Oryzias latipes: one gene and its partner. The main gene of each other region encodes a partner of the protein of the gene in region 2 in a complex. Links are inferred from orthologs where the notes say so. Each region holds a gene or a part of one and is shown on either strand. Other genes may lie near its edges.

What was found.
Region 1: smarcc2 (region 2) and actb share a complex: the UniProt entries of both Homo sapiens proteins name them as parts of the BAF complex. The link is inferred for Oryzias latipes from reciprocal best matches to the Homo sapiens genes SMARCC2 and ACTB.

Annotation. Positions count from the first base shown.
Region 1 is NC_019866.2:19,164,543-19,172,138, forward strand, and holds actb (actin, cytoplasmic 1), read left to right. Parts: upstream 1-3,533; 5' UTR 3,534-3,602; intron 3,603-4,738; 5' UTR 4,739-4,745; coding exon 4,746-4,868; intron 4,869-4,960; coding exon 4,961-5,200; intron 5,201-5,527; coding exon 5,528-5,966; intron 5,967-6,037; coding exon 6,038-6,219; intron 6,220-6,302; coding exon 6,303-6,446; 3' UTR 6,447-7,082; downstream 7,083-7,596. UniProt on the Homo sapiens protein: Actin is a highly conserved protein that polymerizes to produce filaments that form cross-linked networks in the cytoplasm of cells.
Region 2 is NC_019863.2:4,302,599-4,310,450, reverse strand, and holds the start of smarcc2 (SWI/SNF complex subunit SMARCC2), read left to right. Parts: upstream 1-3,321; 5' UTR 3,322-3,356; coding exon 3,357-3,467; intron 3,468-4,127; coding exon 4,128-4,247; intron 4,248-4,347; coding exon 4,348-4,433; intron 4,434-4,560; coding exon 4,561-4,642; intron 4,643-5,746; coding exon 5,747-5,839; intron 5,840-5,959; coding exon 5,960-6,029; intron 6,030-6,112; coding exon 6,113-6,182; intron 6,183-6,490; coding exon 6,491-6,566; intron 6,567-7,852. UniProt on the Homo sapiens protein: Involved in transcriptional activation and repression of select genes by chromatin remodeling (alteration of DNA-nucleosome topology).

The DNA of each region.
Region 1 (7,596 bases), on a different chromosome or scaffold from region 2:
TGCTGTCTGATTGTTTTACCAACAGTAGGTGTTTATGCAGCTCAGAAAAGAAGGCCTTGCAGGCAGGGACGCCATGCTCTGTGAGCTTTCTTTGAACTTTCCGTTCTATTAGAAACAAATCCGGTAATGTTAGCACTGAAGAGCTGGCTGCAGTAACTTGGAAACTTCAAAGGAAAGTCATTCATGTGAAAAAACAACAGCAACATACATACAAAGCGGGTACTTTTAGAGATAAATCACACCAAACTTCAGTAGTAGCTTCATTCACTGTTTAGATCTGACGTCTCTTTAAAGTGTCACACAGTTTAGACATCCACGAATCACATTAACAGTCATTATACACAACACTTCAAGACGCTGCATACACACTCTTGTGTGGAGTAAATATCTTGAGAAAGGTTCATGAAAGGGGCTTTGCAGCAGCTGGGAGCCTGATAGTGACGCTTCAGTTTAACTCAGAGTGTAAAAACACACTCAGAGTTTGGTGATACATGAGCAGGAGTCTTTCCAGGACAGTTTTCCAAGCACTTGGAGTCATTCCCACGGAGGAATGTTGACAACACACGACATGACCTCTCACTTTCTTCCAGGGAAGGGTAGCAAAGGAAAGAAAAAAAACTCCACTCAAGTTCTAGTCCTAATGCGGGAAAAGACGATCACACTGTGCTGCTTGGTTTGATTCCTTGAATGCTCTGTTTCTTTTTTGCAAGTGTGGAAAGTTGTCTGAGCTTTGGTGTGAACCTATGATTGCATTAAAAATGGAGCATCGCAGTAGAAATGTCAGTTTTTCCGCTTCATCATCATCCTCACCTCCATCCACCCATCTTCAGAACCCTATGAATCCCTGTAGGAATCACGGGGCTGCTGGAAACAACCCAATGTTGGGCGAAAGCGGGTACACCCTGAAGAGGTGGCCAGTCTGTTGCAGGGACAAGACAAGACAAACAGCTGATGGTTGGATCACAACTGGTTGCATATGACAATCACCTGTCAATCGAACAGTCAAAAATAAAAAAAAAGCTGCATAAGAATTCAATTACAGTGGTCATGAATATTATATCTAACCACAGAGCTAAAGAAAAAACATACCAAGACAGTTTTTTTTCTGTTGATGGGTGGTCATTCTACATTGAAGTGAATGGGGTCTGACTGGTTTGTTTTACGTGTCAGCTAGTGCTTTCTTGGTGAACTGATCTGGCTCATTTTTTTACTCTGACCTCATCTGAGAATTGTTCAAAACAAATGCACGATATTTAATACTGCTGATAAGAAGGATTCGCTTCACTTGCAGGTGAACCCTGGTGTGGCAATAGTGTTAATGAAAACAAACTACTCGGCAGTAAAAGTATGTGACATGAATAAAAAAAAATCACAAACTGGAAGAAGATCAGATCATGAAAGAATTGTAAGAATGTCCCATTGTACGATGTGTTGTGGTAAAGTGGTGAAGTCACTTATCAATCCATGATGGTCAGAGAACTAGCAGGACTGGTTTTCTTTTCTTTGTTTTTTTTTATTTCCTTCATCCTGGTACTGCCCACTTCTGGCCTTCAAACAAAGTCAAGTATTTTTTTTATGCAAAAGCAGATCAAATTTAGAAGGTAACATCATCTGCCCATTTGAATCATGTCTGTAGAACTATCTTAGTATGAACTTGCCATAATGCTTCATAAGAAGTGATTGCAAATCACCTACCACACAGCTGGATGAGCTGGAACTCTGACACATACATTCATTCACCTGCAATCACGTAAGGAGCCTACTACGAAGGGACACTCCTGTGAGGCAGGATTACATCCTTTCCCAGCCAACCCCTGTCTGTGTTTTTCCAGTTTCAGCAGTCAGTCCTTCCAGTGTGCTCTTAACTTTACCAGAACCCGCCCTCCCAGAATACTGACAAATAGAAATAAAAATGTGTTTTAGATGGACGCACCTTGAATGGGTTACAGATTTCATTACAGGCCTGTAAATAAGTAAATGCAGTGAGTTGGCCTTTGATCGACAAGAACGATTCATTCCATATGAGATTGTTTTTTATGAGAGATTTAAAACTCTTACATAAAGAATTATTTACATACAACTCTCGAGAGAGAACTGTTTCACCCCACAAGCAGAAGCTTTTATTTCAGCGGGTTAATAAAACAAAACAAAAATGGACATTTAAAAGTTAGGTCTGCTGATCAGAAATGCAAGAATCTGCTAATTCAGAAGGAAATGAAGCATGTTTTGTTTGAAACTTGATTAAAAAGCTGAAACGTTTCCATGTATAAAGTGGAAATGTGTTGATGAAAATAAAGACCATTTAAAACTTAAAGCCACGAATGAATTGAAGGAAGAGGAGATGGCATTTAGCATAAAAGAATTGGTGTAACTGAGAGCGAGGAAGAGGAAGTGGTACAAGAGGAAGAAAAGTAGTTGCTGCTTGTGTCTCGCAGACAGTGACATGTTTAAATGGCCTCTGGGTTATTTAACTTGTATGGGCAGCTATGTTTCTGGAGCAAAAAAAGTTTAAATAAACTGTGAAACTAATGAATGGAAGACAAGTAAGGTAAAAGCAAAGAACCCTAAGCCTATAAAACCCAAAGTCAGGAAAGTTACACCCTTTGCAGTAAACCACAGAGAGGAAATAAGAGCATGTGTGACTTTATTTGTCTCTCTCTGAGTTTAATCGATTAAGGTGAATGTATAGTAGCGTATGGGTTGGGTCTGACAGTGGTTATTTTCACTCAATAGGTCATTTATGACTAAAAGTAGATGCAAGTCAGCCTTAGTGTCCTCTTATGTGGACCTTTTTTCTTCATTTGTAGGGGAAAGAGGAAGTAGCAAGAGCTCTGAGAAGTTAACAAGAATCCAGACTAATGCCATACATGGTCAATTGGTATTAGTGAGATTGAGTTTTTACCATTGCTTAGTGGGAAAAGTGGTTATTGTCCATCCTCTGACAGGGCACTTTTACAGTCCATAGTGTCTTTTGTGAGTCATGTGTTTGGCTTGGAGGGTCTCTGACTCCATCTGAGGTGGCATTCTGCTTTCCAGAGTGTGCAGCAACATCCACATTGTAATTGTCCTCAAATTGCATCAAACATATCTTGCATTTCCAGACTGAAATCTTGAGAGACAGGTTTTAAGAGGAAAAGTATTCACAGGGAGGAGCAGCCTGTGCTCTGCTGTTTGAATGATCAGATAAGCAGGGGGACTTGCTCGAAAGCTTTATACAGGTTCATATTTTATATATATTTGAAACTTTGTAAACTCTATATGTATTAATATTTGTTCAAGAAACATTATATCCTTAGATTAGGCCTCACATCAATCCCTATCCTTTTATTTTCCCCCAGCCCGTTACTGTTATCGCCTCCCTCTTTCTACGCTCAGTGCACCACAGCGTGCACCCGACGTGCCCCAGTGAGTGACGCTGGACCAATCACATGCCGCGATTCCGAAAGTTTACCTTTTATGGAAAGAGCCGGGCAACGGACGGACTATAAATACCACGTGCCCACGGCTAGCAAATTCACTCTGAGCGCCGTCACACACAGCTTGTGCGGGATATCATTCGCCTGAAACCGATTCCCTTGAAACGAAAAGCCCCCCACCCAAAGGTAAGATAGAGACGATATTTGGTTTAATTCAAATGTTTTGGAAACCTTACGATTGTTTAATTGTGCAGTTTAATTCTTAATTGGAGGTGACCATTAGCAGAATTTTGTGGCCACTAAATTTATTTTTAGGCCTGAAATGGTTAAACTTTTAATTATCTTTTTAAAATTGACAATTTTGTTTGTTTTGGCATCAATCAAGTTGTACCAAAATTAGCCACTTAAACGCACAGGTGCCAATTGATTGTAACCGGCAAATGGCTTTTCAGTTTGGTTTTAATTGTATATTTTATATAAGCAACTAAATAAAAATTACTATTCGTATCTTACATGGTGGGGGGAATTTTTCGAGTCCTTCTACGGACGTTACCCGTCCGAGTTGAGGGTGTCTGGATCCTGGCGGGTCCCTTTGTGCGCCGTTACGGGGTGTGACCTACTTTAGCATATTAGCCTAGCTTCATGCTAACACGCCCTTCTAGACTTGACTCTGATTCCTCACATGTAGGGGGGTGGGACTGTTATACATTTGTTTGTATAAAATGTAATAACCCTTAAAGCATTTTAAAAGTATTCGATTAAATTGAGCATGTAACTGTAGTTTGACGGCGAAGAAAAGGGCAAATGACAAATCATTCATTCAAGAAAAGGCGTGGCTTTCAGGAAATGATTAATCAGTCATGGGCTCGCACACGTTTTAATTTCCTTCTAAAGCTTGACGGGTCGTGGTGCTTTATGCCAGCAACGACTTCGCACAAATTATGACGCAGTGATTAAGAAATTTTTCAGTCTTGTGCAACAATGGGAGGGAACGCTGACAAAGTAGAGCTGTAATGAACCAGTGGGAGTAGGCTTTCGTCGCCGGGTCCGATAGTCTAAAGTCCCTCCCCTCTTGCTGTACTTTGGCCGCGTGCCTTGCCGGTAGCCGCAAAGCTGCTCAAAACCGAACTATGTCCTTATATGGTAACAAGAGAATGCAGCACCACTTCCTTTTGTCTGGGCTCGGAATGTAGCGCTCTACCTCCACCAAGCGGACACTTTGGGGAACTGCCGCTCCCTGACAGGAAATGGGACATCTGACTGCAAAGCAGATGCAGATGGGCGTGTCTTTGGTGTTAACGCCTTATTTGTTTGTTTTCCAGTTTAGCCATGGATGATGACATTGCCGCACTGGTTGTTGACAACGGATCTGGCATGTGCAAAGCCGGATTCGCTGGAGACGATGCCCCTCGTGCTGTCTTTCCCTCCATCGTTGGTCGCCCCAGGCACCAGGTTAGTTCCTAACTGTTTACCTTTATAATTTTTTACTATTTAATTTTAAAAGTTTCCAGATTTACTAAATGTAAATTTAAACTTTTTTTCAGGGTGTCATGGTGGGTATGGGCCAGAAAGACAGCTACGTAGGTGATGAAGCCCAGAGCAAGAGGGGTATCCTGACCCTGAAGTATCCCATTGAGCACGGTATTGTTACCAACTGGGATGACATGGAGAAGATCTGGCACCACACCTTCTACAATGAGCTGAGAATTGCCCCTGAGGAGCACCCTGTCCTGCTCACTGAAGCCCCCCTGAACCCCAAAGCCAACAGGGAGAAGATGACCCAGGTACCCGTTTACCTCACAGTGGAGCACATGTATACTCTTTTCACCTTGGTTTCCTTCTGTTCATACTTCCTCCATCCTCCTCTTCTAGGATTTCTTCCTATAAGATGAGCTTTCATCAAAAGGTCTATTGACAGTTTGCCTTGTATCTGCACTTGTGTTTTGAGGCTTAGAGTAACAGATCAGCACCTAAAAATGACATGCACAAGTGTGAAGGAATGTTTACCATGTACTAACTATAGATCGAGCCCCACTTTAATGCATGTAGCGAGTGGAGTGGTCGCATTGCTGCTTTGTAACATGCTAACATTGTGCTTTTTGTCTCTGCAGATCATGTTTGAGACCTTCAACAGCCCTGCCATGTACGTTGCCATCCAGGCTGTGCTGTCCCTGTATGCCTCTGGTCGTACCACTGGTATCGTCATGGACTCTGGTGATGGTGTGACCCACACAGTGCCCATCTACGAGGGCTACGCTCTGCCCCACGCCATCCTGCGTCTGGACTTGGCCGGCCGCGACCTTACAGACTACCTCATGAAGATCCTGACGGAGCGTGGCTACTCCTTCACCACCACAGCCGAGAGGGAAATTGTCCGTGACATCAAGGAGAAGCTGTGCTACGTCGCCCTGGACTTCGAGCAGGAGATGGGCACCGCTGCCTCCTCTTCCTCCCTGGAGAAGAGCTATGAGCTGCCTGACGGACAGGTCATCACCATTGGCAATGAGAGGTTCCGTTGCCCAGAGGCCCTCTTCCAGCCTTCCTTCCTTGGTAGGTACCTCAACCAAAGACTTGTGTACAGACCCCAGAGTGCCCCATGCTAATATTTAATCTCCTTCCAGGTATGGAGTCCTGCGGTATCCATGAGACCACCTACAACAGCATCATGAAGTGTGATGTTGATATCCGTAAGGATCTGTACGCCAACACTGTGCTGTCTGGAGGTACCACCATGTACCCTGGAATCGCAGACAGAATGCAGAAGGAGATCACAGCCCTGGCCCCATCCACCATGAAGATCAAGGTGAGCTTTCTGAAGAGTCTCCCGTCTGGATTGTTCCTTTGGGGAAAAGGGGCTCATTCTCAACTCTCCTCCTCTCCCTACAGATCATTGCCCCACCAGAGCGTAAATACTCTGTCTGGATTGGAGGCTCCATCCTGGCCTCTCTGTCCACCTTCCAGCAGATGTGGATCAGCAAGCAGGAGTACGATGAGTCTGGCCCCTCCATCGTCCACCGCAAATGCTTCTAAACAGACTTTCTCCTCCCCAGCCAAACACCCAACAACTTCAGCTCTGTTCAAAACCACACCACACATTTCTCGCTCACTCAGGCGCAGGGCCTAGACGACCAACTCATTGGCATGGCTTCAGTTATTTTTGGCGCTTGACTCAGGATTTAAAAAAAAAACTGGAACAATGAAGGAGATAATGTTTTTGCTTTTTGGCTAGGTTTAAACACCCCAGGCATCTGCAGTTGCATCTGGGGCTTAAATGTACATTTTGTTCTTTAAGTCATTCCAAATGTTTGTTGACTGCATCGTTCAAACATGATTCCAAATGTAAACTGCATTGTTCAGACACGTATTTGCCTCTGTGAAGGCTGCCCAGTGGTTGAGCATACTTAAACATGGTTGTAGTATTGCTTGTATGTAAATTTTGTCTGGGGTTTTTTGTACTTTCAGCCTTAAATCTTGGTCCTGTTCAAATTTTTTTCTTTTGTTATGCAAAACCCAACCATGACCTTCTTCCCCCTGTTGGAGGTTCATCTCTGGGGAGGTGCGGTAAGGGGTCTTCATGACGGGCGTAACATGGGGTGCCAGACCAGTGGGGCCAAACCTGTACACTGACTAAACAATCCCAATAAAGTGCACATGTGTTCCGACTTGATGTCTGCATCTGTTTGGTCTCTTTATTTTTAAGCAGTAACACACTGAGTGACTGCATCTGAAATCTGATCTTTACCAACTAGTGCAATTGGCAGTTTAAACAAGGATTTACATCCACAATAAGTACCTATTAAAGCTTTTCCATTGTTTCTTTAAAGCTTAAACCTTAGGTCATACAAACTACAGGAGTACAAAATGAAAACTGCATTTACCTGAGGATTTATTGTGAATCCAGGGGTAATGAAGTGGCAGTTCAACTAAAACTAAAGCTGTACAGTTTTAACTATTGAAGTTAAACAGGAGGAAAGTGACTAAATACCCAATCGCTTTACAAAGAAACTTGTGGGTATAAAGCGGCAACCCAGCTCGGTCAAAAGCTTGAACAAACCCCAAACTTAATATTTGTGGCACAATTGCTCAGCATGTTGCTGTGATGTGGCACTCCTAGCTCCCCTTATAAAACTGCTTCGCAAGAGGCTGACCTGCGTTCAGGTGGCATTAAAAGTGGACTACC
Region 2 (7,852 bases):
AGCTATAACAAAAGTGTTGCATTTATATCTTTGGTCAGTGTATTTAGCAGAAGCCTTTTTAACATTTATGTTCATTTTCACAGTGTCACGTGTTTCAGAACTCGTGAGTGTTTGTCCAAAGTTAATCAAAATTGGTCATAAAAAAATATAATTTCTCTTAATATTTCAACATTTATTGATGAAAATAAAACAATAGTTCAGATACAAATCTTAAAAAGTTTATCTTCCGGCTGGACGGAGTCGGAGCTCTGACATTTTTTTTTTCTGCTGCAGAAATTTTAAACACATTGGTCACTACACTGACTTAAATAAATACAAAACCCTGTTTTATTTTAGCTGCTTTGCTGCTCCTTCTGGGTTTAACTCTGAGAGAAATGGGCCAGAATGGTTGAAAACGCCAGAATCCCGTTCAAACAGAACCAACGCAAAATCCAAAGTCCTTGTCTGCCTCCAAGCACCATCAATATGAGACAGAGACACCTGATTGGTTAGAATCTGGACCAATCAGCAGCTGTTTGATGGCAGCTTTGTCATGTCAAACTGAAACTTAACTCAGCAAAATCAAAGATAGAAACAAAGTGAGATGACACACAACGCATGCAAAAACCTTTTGGCGGTGGCAATAGTGGCAGTTTTATCACGCTAAGTCGCGCTCAGAGTAGTCAGCAAAATCAAAGATAGGAAAAGTGCGATATTTGACACAACGCACGCAAAAACATGCATTTTGCAAACGCAAAAAACGTTTTTGAAAGCAAAAAGAATTTTGAAAGCTAAAAAAAAGTTTTTTAAAGCAAATAAAAATTGAAAGCAGAAAAAAATCTCAAAGCAGAATCAAAAATTATTGAAAAGCAAATATTTAATATTTTCACTTGCAACTTAGAACTTAGTTTTGTGTGCAACGTGGTGGCAGAAGTATCACTCCATATGCTTTGGCCTTGGCTTTTCAAAATTTCTCTGCTCCAGAAAGTCAAATGCAGTTTTAAAAAGAAGGCTGCGACATGTTGTCCTTGAGGGCTCAGCCACACTCACCTCTGGTATTCCTACTCCATCCCATTCATTCATTCATTCATTCATTCATTCATTCATTCATTCATTCATTCATCCATTTTCTATACCTATTTATTCCCGTTTGGGGTCATGGCGTTGCTGGGGCCTATCCCAGCTACTGTAAAGTAAAGGCAGGGTACACCCTGCACCAGAGGTGTCAAACTCCAGGGGTTGCTGTGAGTAGTGAGTGAGCAGCGGCTGTTTTTCTGTCTGACTGAGCACCGTGTTAATGAAGCATAACTAGGATGTGCAGCAATCACATCAAGACCTGCACCGATACGATGGACGAGTCGTGACCAGACCCTATGAAGACTCTTAAATATAAGCATATCTTAACCGTATGAGTCCTGCAGTTATGTAGAAAAGAACAATTTCAGACGAAGAACATAAAAGCATTTTTGCTGCATCTTCATCTGTCTGATCTGGTTTTGGATGTTGGCAGCTTGTTACATTAAATAGGATTCCATACCTGACCAAGAAGAATAAAGGAAAAAACAAGAGGACAGCATCCTTGAACACTTGTGTACTGATGTGTTGTTTCGGACAGCAAAGGAAATGTTTTTTCAAGGTGAAGAAAAGGATCTCATCCTGGCTGCTATTTAAATCCCAGAAGGACGATACTGTCAATTTAATGAGCTTCACATTGTGAAAAGTCAGAGTTTTTCAAGTTCACTGCAGCTATGATTTGTGCAACTTCTAAACAATTGACAAAATAATTATACTTATGGTGTAGATATTGTGATATGAAGAAATGGCGACTCTTTAAAGACCTCTGTGATGTGAACGACGCACAAGTGGAATCATGTCCACTTTGTTGCCTTAATGTAATAAAAAAAACACAGACAGTATTGTTAAAACATCAATCATGTTAACATCACTCAATACTTTTCTTATAAGGTTTAGCTGAGCTGTAAGTATTGTCTGTCGTTTCAAAGAAAAACAATCTTTGGAACTTAAGCATTTTTGGAGGTACTGTTTTTTAAGGAAACACTGCCACAGGACACTTACTGCTTTCATATAACCGATCATTTAAGTCCTGATTTATTTTTCTGTTAGTACAGAGCAAAACATTTCACAGACACATCTGTTAGATGTCTTAATTGTGGCTATTTCAATGGATATGCATCATATTGACATCAATGCCTAGAGGCCTATCAGACCTTTTAGCAGACGACTTTCACACAGCTAATCATGTCACGGTCCCAAAATATAAACCAGCTGCCATTTTTCTTGATAAATAGGGTAATTATATAACATATAAAATAATACAAAAGGTGCATTAATGGTGGTTTTGTGTTCTTTAGAGGACGTCTTTCAAACTGTCAAGAATGCACCAGAGGACAGTATTCGTAAAGATGCATACAACAAGATTTTCAGTAAAAAAAGAACAATCTGAATGTGTCTAAAAATGGGATTACTTTGGTGAAAGTGACTGTTCAGACTATACTTGTTCAAGCATATATACTGTGGTTAGCAGAGGTTACATGGGTAGAAGCTCAGCCTGGTTTCTAGTTTGATTCCAAAGGACGTGCAAGCATTCAAAGCTACTGGTCAGTCATCACACATTGAGCTGGGGCCCTATGATTTCACAGGCGTTTGACACTGGTGACCCAATTTCAAAAGGTAACCCCTGCACCCACAACCCATCTATGACGTATCAGCCAGGCTTCCCATCTGATCCAGATGCTTTCTGGACAAGAGAGGCCCTTCATCAGTCCCAGGACGACCAAAGGTGGTTTAACATGTCACAGCTTGAAGGTTTCTTCATCTTCATCTCTGCCATTAGTCACCTTCCTCGCTGCATTCTGCACAGTGTCCTGGAAGATGTCAAATGACCAATTTTCCGACCTCGCTTGAGATATAAAGATGTTTTTAAAAGAGATATGAAGGACTTCCAGATAGATCCTGCTACTTGGACTGCTACTGAAGCGACAGAGGGAGATGGGACACCACCTTAAAGAGAGGTATCAAAGTTGTTGTATCAGACAGATTCTAGAAATTCTACTATGGAAAAACGTTTAATTTATTTTGGAAAACCCTGAGTCTGGGGGATCTGCTTCATAGGTTGGGAAGACTTAGTCTAAAGTAGGTATGGATGACCAACGCAAAGGAGAAATGCTTTTATAAACAATACACTGTTTTTGTTTTTTAACAATGGAAATGTACAAGGAAGGAAGCCAACATTCTCTACACCATTCCGCCACCTGCTGGATGCGGGCATTCATTACAGGACACTTGTTCAAGCAGCTGCAGGGACTAACTGCGTCCACTAGGAGGCGCGCAACACCGACAGTTGTCTGCAGGCAAAGATGGCGGTGCGGAAGAAAGACGGCGGCCCGAATGTTAAATATTTCGAAGCATCTGACACCGTTTCTCAGTTTGATAATGTCCGCGTCTGGTTGGGAAAGAATTACAAAAAGGTACTGTGGGCTTGTTTTTGTGCGCATGCTCACAGAGTTCTCCTTTTCACCCTCAAATGTGGGCACTTACCCAGTGGGCAGAGGCAGTGACAAAGAGAGGAGGGAGGGTGCTGCTGCTGCTGCTGCTGCCGCTCAGCGTCCAGCTGTTTGGGATACAAAAGGATGCTGAGCAAACAGCTGCAGCACAAGCGCGCGCTTCAGGCGTTCTGCGGATACACGTGACTGCAGATAAACTGCCACAAAGGCAGCGCGCGACTCTTACTCGGTGGACGGATTTGTTTTCTATAAAGAAAATACATGACTTTAGCCTGCTAGCTGGCTAGTTAGCTGCTCGGCTAACGGTGAAGCAGCGCAGATCCAGATGTTGGCTCAGAGGCACGTCTGTCTTGAATAACAGCTGGCGGGCCTCAACTAGGAGCTCTGACTTGACGAAGACCTCTCAAGTACTAATCATGAAGTAGACTGTTATTATTATTATTATTTTTACAAATATTTGAATGATTGATGTTTTTAATTAGAGCTCTTTTTCATGGGTGAAAATAAAAGCACTGACATTTCCAGAGTTTACGTGAATGCGGCATATCAGCCATAGAACTATGTCTACCAGAAATGCTGTGTTTTAGTGTTTGGTGTATTCCTAACTTTGCGTTTTGTGTCCAGTACATCCAGGCTGAGCCTCCCACCAACAAGTCTCTGTCCAGCCTGGTGGTCCAGCTGCTGCAGTTCCAAGAGGAGGTGTTTGGCAGACATGTCAGCAACCCCCCACTCACCAAGCTGCCGGTATTTGCTTCTCAATACTCATCATCTTCCTCAATGTAATGATGCTTCACTTTTTGTCCTCTGTAACCTATTATTTGAAGCATTTTCCCTCTTTCTGCAGATGAAATGTTTTCTGGACTTTAAGTCTGGGGGGGCTCTGTGTCACATCCTGGCTGCAGCCTACAAGTTCAAAAGTGATCAAGGATGGTAGGGGCTTCTTTCTAGCGGATGTTTTGAGGATTAGACCTGTTAATCCAGTGAAGAATCAAAGGTCTCAACTGGATTTTGGCCGGGTTTGAGTTTCGTGTGTAACTCCAGTCTAATTTCCTGGTAGGCGCAGGTTTGACTTCCAGAATCCATCGAGGATGGACCGAAACGTTGAGATGTTTATGACGATTGAAAAATCTCTGGTGCAGGTGAGTTTGTTTCAGCAATCGTTCTTCATGAATAGTTACCTTCTACACAACTTGCAAAAGTGTTTATTTTCTAATATCTTCAAATCTCTAAATTATTATTATTATTATTAAAAACTGTCAATTATTTACCTTTTACAATTAGGTTTAATTTAGAATTAAGGATTTGATTCAGTTTGAATGAAACTATTTATGTGTATTTATATTCAGAAAAACGATCCACGTTTATTGTTTTTTATGCAAGTCTGAATTAATGATAAAAAAAACATTGAGAGATTTCATGTTTTTGTTTGGTGGCTTCAGAATTTTTGAATATTTGCAGAACCAGTTTGTTTATTCTTTAAAGTTCCACTCCAATGAAAATTGTGTTGTAGTTGTTTTTTTACATGTTCTTGTGGCATTTTTCTGATGATGGAGCACATAGATAAAGAAAATTGAGATTAAAATTGAATATTTCTTTACTCCAATATTTGTAAAATACAAAAAAAAAAAAAGCAGTTCGAAAAAGATCTTGTTTGTGACGTAGAAAATATGCTGGCTGGGTCAAAATCTTCCTGCTTTGCTCCATTCTGATGCATCCACCTGCAGACAAATAGACCCATGAACGTCTTTGTTCTCCTCGCCTGAGCTGGAATCTGGATCAAAACTGGATGGCTGGATAGCTCTGATGTTGCTCACCATTTTTGTTGCACTGATAATGTTAGGTTTGGCTATAAGGGGCTGAAAGCTAGCAGGAGAGAGTGTAAACAAAGGGATGATGGGAAGTAGAGGCAGGCTTACTCCCTACAACTCAGATGTAAATTTTTAATGAACTCCTGCCGCTCTGCTGAAACTATGTCCTAAAAAAATGACACTTGTTTTTAGATTTTGGCCAAAAGGTGCATCATCATAATTAGAAGACCGCTGGGAACGCTTTGAAAATACATCAGAAGATGATCGGAGCAGGATTTTAATGACAAAATCTTTGTGATGTGACTTTCGTTGTCCAACCCAAGGACTTCAGGGCTCGTGCAGTGTCTTTATTTGCAGAAGCAGAGATGTTATGCTGAGAGGAAAACAGCATTTACATTGTAATGGTCATGTGTTTTTTAAATGTACTCCTTCCAGAACCACTGTCTGTCACGACCAGTCATCTACCTGAGCTCTGACATCGATCCAAAGCTGCTGGGGAAACTGAAAGACATCATCAAAAGGCATCAGGTGTGTTTGTCATGTGAATGTTATGCCATACACCTCAAGTAGGTGTTGCTTCATTTTTAGGGCTCCTATGGGTTTAAACCTGTGAATACATATGATTTACACTCTTTTCCTGATTTGCAGGGCTCAGTGGCGGAGGACAAATCAAACAGCTCCCATATTGTGGTTCCCATCCCTGCCAGTCTAGAAGAAGGTGAGGACTTGGAACTGGACTGCTGGATGGATGTTTCTTCTTCAACATGCTATTCTAACTCCAACCCCTTTTTTATCTTTCAGAGGAATGGGTGCGTCCTGTGATGAAGAGAGATAAACAAGTTCTCCTCCACTGGGGATATTTTCCAGACAGGTTGGGTTTTTTGTTGATGCTCGTGAGCCGGTACCTCCATGAAATGCACCTGAAAACTCCTTCTGTTACATTTGAAGTTAATCTGAGTCCATGACTGGAGCCGTTACCTGCATAAACACTAAAGTATCACGTCTAACTAAGCTCTGCACTGATCTCATTTGGTAATAATTGCAGTGTGTCTTAAACAGAAAGTGATTATCACATTGTGTATCTTACTTAACATTTCTGGACAACAAAGGAAACAGTCTACCTGTGTTTTTCTCCAAACGGCGTGATTGGATTGGAATTTTCTTCCTCCCACTGTGCAGTTATGACACCTGGATTCCAGCCAGTGAAATCGAGGCTGCAGTGGAGGATCCTCCAACTCCAGAGAAGCCCAGGAAGGTATTTTTTTTTATCTTTCTTTGAGTTCTTCATCTCATTTTTTAACATGTTAATAAATAATCTTGATTTGTGCTAAAAGGTGAAGTGTTTTTAGAAATGTAATCATCTTAAAACGATCATGGTGTTCACGTTACATCAGCATGCAGGCAGAGAGGTGTTCAGTCAGAAACCAGCTGTGCCAGCTCTCCTACTTCAGCAGCTGAGTTTGGTCAGTAATGTTCATCATAGCTTCACTTCAACTGTGAGAGACAGAATGGAAAAAAAACCTAAAAGAATCCAAGAAACCACATGATTTGATCTATAGTGAAATATTAGGTAAATTCCCCTGTAAAATACATATTTATCTCATACAAGCAAACAGCAATTCTGTTCTTCGCAGACTTGTTACTTCCTCTTTAAGAAGCTCTTCTGTCCTACGCTGGCTACCTGTATTAAGGGCTCCTGTTTGAACTGGTTATCTGTAGAAAAGACATTTGTCCACAACCTCCAAACTCTACTATGGCCAAGACCAAACGGCTGTTAAAGGACACAAGAAACTAAATTGTAGATCTCCACCAGGCTGGGACAGCTCAGTGTGAAGACATCAACTGTAGGAGCAATAATTAGAAGATGGAAGACATGTACTGAGAATCTCCCTCCATCTGGGGCTCCATGTAAGATCCCACCCCATAGGATCAAATCATCACAAGAATTGTGAGCAGAAATCCCAGAACCACTTGGGGGACTTAATAAAAGATCTGCAGAGAGCTGGGACCAAAGTAACAAAGGCTACCATCAGTAACACACGCCGCCGCCAGGGACTCAAACCCTGCAGGGCCAGACGTGTCCCCCTGCTAAAGCTGGTACATGTGCAGGCCCGTCTAAAGTTTGCTAGAGCATAGGGACAAGTACAAGTGATCCGTGTAAAGCAATAAGGAATGGATCTAGACACACGGGCCACTTCAATAGCAACAGCTGTTCAACAGCTTGTTAACGCAACTTTCTAATCAGCCAATCACATGGCAGCAACTCATGTGTAGACATGGTTCAGACGATCTGCTGCAGTTCAAACCAGCATCAGAATGGAGAAGAAAGGTGATTGAAATGACTTTGAACGTGGCATGGTTGTTGGTGCCAGACGGGCTGGTCTGAGGATTTAAGAAACTGCTGATCTGCTGGGATTTTCACCCACAACCATCTCTGGGGTTTACAGACAATGGTCCAAAAAAGAGGAAAATGTCCAGTGACCAGTGTTAGACAACAGAAGATTGTAAAACCGTTGTGTGGTCTGATGAGTCTCCATTTCT